2 linked regions of the Tribolium castaneum genome follow. The protein of the gene in region 2 interacts with the protein of the main gene of each other region in a pairwise test. Links are inferred from orthologs where the notes say so. Each region holds a gene or a part of one and is shown on either strand. Other genes may lie near its edges.

The links. The genes of interacting proteins can lie anywhere in the genome.
Region 1: the proteins of ubiquitin-conjugating enzyme E2 W (region 2) and E3 ubiquitin-protein ligase AMFR interact in a two-hybrid assay, tested with the Homo sapiens proteins (2 studies listed by BioGRID and IntAct). The link is inferred for Tribolium castaneum from reciprocal best matches to the Homo sapiens genes UBE2W and AMFR.

Annotation. Positions count from the first base shown.
Region 1 is NC_087396.1:17,618,560-17,622,075, forward strand, and holds part of E3 ubiquitin-protein ligase AMFR, read left to right. Parts: intron 1-1,419; coding exon 1,420-1,677; intron 1,678-1,723; coding exon 1,724-1,876; intron 1,877-2,823; coding exon 2,824-3,164; intron 3,165-3,218; coding exon 3,219-3,329; intron 3,330-3,375; coding exon 3,376-3,516. UniProt on the Homo sapiens protein: E3 ubiquitin-protein ligase that mediates the polyubiquitination of lysine and cysteine residues on target proteins, such as CD3D, CYP3A4, CFTR, INSIG1, SOAT2/ACAT2 and APOB for proteasomal degradation.
Region 2 is NC_087394.1:30,473,444-30,476,450, forward strand, and holds ubiquitin-conjugating enzyme E2 W, read left to right. Parts: upstream 1-1,323; 5' UTR 1,324-1,481; intron 1,482-1,537; 5' UTR 1,538-1,586; coding exon 1,587-1,610; intron 1,611-1,662; coding exon 1,663-1,754; intron 1,755-1,804; coding exon 1,805-1,907; intron 1,908-1,959; coding exon 1,960-2,115; intron 2,116-2,161; coding exon 2,162-2,237; intron 2,238-2,288; coding exon 2,289-2,302; 3' UTR 2,303-2,503; downstream 2,504-3,007. Other genes in the region: putative inositol monophosphatase 3, read right to left, coding at 1-181. UniProt on the Homo sapiens protein: Accepts ubiquitin from the E1 complex and catalyzes its covalent attachment to other proteins.

The DNA of each region.
Region 1 (3,516 bases), on a different chromosome or scaffold from region 2:
TGTTTTTGATTTTTAATTTGCGTTTTGATATTGGGGCAGCTTTTTTCCCATGAATTTTGGTAGAATTATAGAATTTTCAAAAATTTATTGCATTTGTCGTAAAATTGGCACGCGATCATTGTTAGGTCTGAAGGTTGAGGCAGCTGGTAAGAATTTTTCAGGCCCGGATTACCATTTATTTTATCTGTTTACTGTAAATGGAATGTTAATCTTTAAATCTCACGGCAAGGGTTCATGCGAATTGTAAACGAAGAATTCGTTTGTGCTTAGACCAAAATAGTCATCAATTTGAACATCTGATGTAATATTTAAAATATTTATTTCATATTTTTTTTCTCTCTAACGCTTACAAATAATCCGTATACTAATATGTATCAGTTCACGACGGTTTGCGTGTGGCTCGGTATTTTAAACAATTTTTGCAAAGCTATGGTAAATGGTATGTACTTTTTCAGCCTACTATTTGATTTCCACAATCCTGACTGAATTTTTAGTCATCATAGCATGAATAACAAATGAAAGAAGCTCATTCCCACATGCAAACGGTATAGTGATTTTACCCATAACTGAAATACAGAAGCCGGGAGCTGAGCTAGATCACTCTGTATAGATAAGTTTCAAATTATTAAGGCCCGATTTCTGGTACGATTAAACTGTTAGTATGTATTGCTAAGGTAATGCGTATCTGGTTGGCGTTGATGTTTTAACTGAGATTTAAATTTATCATTCCGTTAAATATGTTTCCAGAAACAGGGCCTATATCCAGATTTAGAAATTCTTTTTTAGAATCGTGAGCTTGCAACGATTCAACCTAAGAGGGAACGCATATTCAGATCCGCGTTCTAATATTATTTTATTACATTTTCTAAAATTTCAAAAATCTAAAAATGAATACATTGTATTAATAGCATTATAATAACCCTCACATTTTTAAAATAATTATTTATCGCCAAGGTTTAAATTTGTATACACAAATATGCCAATCGTGATAAAAAGTATTTTTTTTGATAAGGGATTGTTTTAAATTCCGAAATCACAATTTAAATTCTGTTGCATGTCATAGCTCGAAACTTATCGGTACAAATAAATAACACTAAGTGATTCACATTTAAGTAGGTTGTCTATTGTTGAACTATTCTTATTATGGAGCGGTGTCTTCGTAGGAGTAAAAGTTTTAATTTCATTAATTCTCGCAGATTACGTAATAGTATTACCAAAACAGTATAATTTTTGCGGTACCACTTCTTCGGCCAACGAAACAGTAATTTTCTATCTTAAAGGAAAATGAACTGCAGCGAGTTAAACGAACTCGAAATCCCTGACCCACTAGTCACTTTACACCGAGTTGAAACAATAATCAAAAAAAGTCGGCATGATTAGCTTTCGAAACATCCAATTGAAGCAATTTCTCATTTCCAGACCATGATCAACATGGCTTTCTGTTGGCTCATCCTCGTGGGTACCGCGATCCAGAAGCTGGTGTTTGGCGAATTACGCGTCTCTGAACAGCAACATCTCAAAGATAAGTTTTGGAATTTCGTATTTTATAAATTCATCTTCGTATTCGGAATCATCAACGTTCAATACATCGATGAGGTGTTGCTGTGGTGCTCGTGGTTCTCCCTTTTGGGATTTCTGCATCTCCTCTCCCAGCTCAGCAAAGACAGATTCGAATATGTAAGTACCGGTTTACCGCATTTTCCCAATAACCGATTTTTTTCAGCTGTCTTTTTCGCCGACTACGCCGCTGTGGAGCCACGTGAAGCTTTTGTTCTTGCTAACTGCGATTTTCACACTATCGGGCTTCATGCTGCTGGTGTCGGTCTTTGTGGGATTCTTCGGCGGATTTAATACGTTTGCTTTCATGTCTGCTGAGGTATGTAATTTCTTACGTGGCGTATGCATCTTTTATGGCCGACGCCGCCTGCAACGAACGTCAACTTGGAGACGGCTATAATTTATCTAATTTATTCCTATTATGGTGTTTCCAACGGGAAAACGCAATTTATACCATAATGATATCGTTTTAACGCCTGAAAAATATCCAGAGGTTGACCCGAATAAGTAGACAGTGTTTTACATTTTTGGCAGTATTAATTCTTTACCGCTTATACTTTCAAACGTGAGTAATAATTTACTCATAGTTCGGCAAAGACTAACAAGTTTCGCAAAATTGTAATCCGGGTATCGTGGGTGTCTCTTGCAACAGTATTTTTTTATTTGTAAAATTATGTCAATAACGAGGTTTTTGGACATCTTAAAATAAGATTTGTTTACGCGAGTTCGTAAACATAAATTACCACACACATGTGGGTGAATCAACACCTAATTAAAAATTGACTCATTCATGTTTTATTATTTTTAAATTGGTTTTTGTACTTGTTGCGCTCAGTTATTAAAAAAATACGGGTAATGGTCTTAATAAATCGGAAAATAGATCAACTGACGTCAATCATTGCAAGACGTAGATGTTTTATTTCAATTCAACGTTGCGAGATTTTCAAATTGGTTCGAAAGATTTTTTCTGTAGACTGACGGAATAATTTAGCGTTTAATCACCTAAGTGTTTCGTATAAAGTTTTAATTAACACATATGAGAGGCGTTTCATTTAACCCATGAATAATTAATCTTAATTCTAATTGTTCCTGTTGTGACAATATATTGTTTCGTTGAGGTAATTAGTGATTAGTTTATTTCACACGAATGCAATTTTTTCTGGTGATAATTGGATGTTTTTCCGACCGCTTTAATCCAGTTATCGTAACGATGAGTTTCTATTTTTACAAATAATTACACGGTGTTTGTTTTTTCCTGATTTCCAGGTGGTGTTATTGAGTATTCGTACTCTGCATGTGATAATCCGGTACGCCTTGCATCTGTACGACATGCGACAAGAAGGTGCGTCTTCAGTCAGTGCAAATGAAGAGAATCGAGTTTGGGAAAAACGAGGTCCCATCGCCTATTACACGGAATTGAGTTTCGAACTGACAGCTTTAATAATCGATTTCGTTCATCATCTTCATATGCTAGTTTGGAGTAACATTTTCCTCTCAATGGCTAGTCTAGTGATTTGTATGCAGTTGAGATATTTGTTCCACGAGATTCAGCGGCGCTACAAAAAACACAGGAATTATCTGTGGGTCAGGAATCATCTCGAACAGAAGTACGTTTCCATTATTATATCATTCTTTCTTAGAAAAATTCTGTTTCGGTTTAGTTACCCGATGGCGTCGTCCGAAGAGTTGGCCGACAATTCCGACAACTGCGCCATCTGTTGGGAAAAAATGGAGTCGGCGAGGAAGTTACCGTGCACTCATTTGTTTCACAAGTGAGTTACAGCCAACTGTTTAAATAAAAATAACAAATTTTTCCAGCACTTGTCTGTTGTCGTGGCTGGAGCAAGACACTTCCTGTCCCACTTGTCGTCTAGCCCTCAACATTCAAACGCCCTCAACGTCGCGAATCGATCCTCCCGATTTGCAAGTGGACGCTCCTCAGCCGCAACGTCGCCAGCT
Region 2 (3,007 bases):
CTTTGCCCCCATTTTCCGCTGCCTTAATTGCTACCTCCAAGAGCTGCTTTAAATTTATCTTAACGCTTGGAGGATCATTATTTGAACTTGTAGTAAACACGTAAATAAACAATATCAGCACAGCTCCCGATATTACACACAGCCCTGTCTTGTTTAGTCGGATAACACCCCCAAGATTCATTGTTATGCAGCCGATGAGTCTCTATCTACATCATTCGCTTTTTGTACTTATTTACTAAAATATTTTCAATTAATCAACCAATATCATTCAATACCACCGGTCTTACAGTTGAATAACAATTATCTTAAGACTATTTAGAAACAAACGTCATCGCATTTTTGCACCTTACAAATAATCAAAAAAACCTTCAACCACAATAATGGTGAAGTTAGTCACAAAATCACCAAACGCTAAACGTCATTTTCAAGGATAGGGCATAGGCATAGGCGTGCGAAATTTTTTTCATAATACAGATAATAACTGTGATAATAATAATAAAAGCACTACCACAAGCAGTACTATTTGCTTCCCAATTTAAATTTTACATTTGTTTTAGAAATCCACCGGGTGGTTATCAAATATTGTATAAAACAATCATAGCCAACTTACGTCAAATGTCGCTGCGCTCCATGGAGTTTTTGTTTAGGAAAAAAAATCTATGTTAAACTTAATCTCAGCGACACACTTTGAGCTAAGAAAACCCACCAAAAACTCTCAATTTGTGCTCCTTTTAATCAAAAAATGCTGTTGCAAAATTCTACTGTAAACTGAAATGAATATATATATTTGCTTTCCTGCTAATTCCGGTCAATAATTAAGTAAAAAACAACTTCTTAACACTCTGCAATTCAAGTACTACCGGACCAAATTTTACATTCAGTTCATTTTTATAAAAAAACATTTTGGTGGAAATTGGGTACTCTTGGCATTAACTTTTATATGAGTTGTCATAGTAAAATCTTAGTTAATTCCGCCACAATGTTTTTTATGAAAATGAACCAAAATTAGTTTTTTTTTAATAACGTTTTATTTTATATTTAGGATTAAGCCCTTATTAATAGACAACTATATTCGGTTCACTTTCATAAAAACCATTGTAGTAGAAATTTGGTACTCTTGGCATTAACTTTTATATGAGTTGTCAAACCGAAAATAGAAATATAACTTTTCTGTGACATAGCGGAAAATCAAATCAGTCAAATTGTGGTATTAAAAAAATTCGACACTTTTGATGAATCTTTTAAAAAAGCGTTCACCATAGGGCACTTGGGTCTTGGTTTTTCTATAGTAGTGTATACATAAGACAAATCGTTGAGGCTGGCAAAAAAATCCTCGATTTGTCCCCATGGTCTCTCCGCCACTGGCGGGAATGAATAATAGAATTATTTACTTTGGAACCATGGTTATCTGTCCATTGTTCGTGAATTGAGGAGCATTGGGGGACAGTAGGTAATTTGGTCGGTTGTTTTGAACGTCAAAAGTAAGTTTTTGGCTATTTATTTGAAGCTAAATTAAAGTCTGTTGATCTGTGTTCAGTTAAAATCTCACAATCTAATCTGTGGTATGATGAAAAGTTAATTCCAAAATGGCAGGGTTGTCGCCGTCTGAAGTAAGTAAATTGCATTGTTTTTCTAACCTCTTCACGAAATCTCTCAATTTAGAGAAGGTTGCAAAAGGAGCTCATGTCACTGATGAAAGAACCTCCACCAGGAGTTGAAGTCGACTTCGATCTGGCAGAGCAAAATTTATTGCAGTAAGTTAGCAATAAACTGCCAATAACAATGCTAAATACATGACTTCTAGTTGGATCATTAATATGGAAGGGGCTGCAGGTACATTGTACGAAGGAGAACGTTTTCAATTGCAGTTTAAATTTAGTAACAAATATCCCTTTGATTCACCAGAAGTATGGGATTTTTTGTTAGACTAGTATTGTGTTTATATTGTTTGCGTTCCAGGTGACGTTTGTAGGCAATAACATTCCAGTTCACCCGCATATTTACAGCAATGGACATATTTGCCTTTCCATATTAACAGATGATTGGTCTCCTGCACTGTCTGTTCAGTCTGTTTGTCTTTCAATTGTTTCTATGCTCAGTAGTTGTAAAGAAAAGGTGAGACCTTATTTAGTATTACAGTATTTTTAATCTTGTTTTACAGCAAAGACCTCCCGATAATGCTTTCTATGTAAAAACTTGCAATAAAAATCCAAAGAAGACAAAGTGGTGGTATCACGGTATTATCTCCTATAATGTAACCCACAATTCCTGATTATTTTATGTTTCAGATGATTCTGTATGAAACTATATAAATAACTTATGGTCTTGTGATTTTAATGATTCTGTTACGCTGGATGCTGTTAGTTTTAAATTTTTAATAGATGTTATTTATTATGACAAAGCTAATTATAAAATATCTTTAGAATTGGATTAACAGTTTTTACATAGTGCCTGTCCTCCAGATGTTGTGTTGTAATTAATTAAATATAAGAGTTAAAATTAATATTTTAAACCCGCCCTGGGCTGTTGCTTATTTCTTACCCGTGTACAAATTTTACGTCTATCAATTAACAAAATCAAAACCGAAAAATCTTTGTTTTAAAGGATTCCTTAATTATCGGACTCGTTTCTGATAAATAAATGAGAAAAAAAAATTAGGAGAAAATAAACGCAACCCAACATACACGCACCTAATTTTCGTTAGGTTGGTATTAAAGGCGTGGTCGGGGATTTACCCACATATGTGAAGACAATCACTTGACATTTATCAAAGCGCATTCGAAATAGTATGTTACGTGTCATGTGGGTGCAGCAAAATTAAATTTTCGATTTAAAGACGTATCTAAGCACGAACTCAGATACAAAATTTTGATGATGTACTAAAAGGCTCTTCTGGGTTACCTTTTGTTTTTGGTAGTAGCTGCGGTAGTGTTTTTTTTTGAAGTGAATATAAACCATAAAGGCTAAGAAGGTTTGAATAAAAGTACATTGGTTCAAATGCAATTTG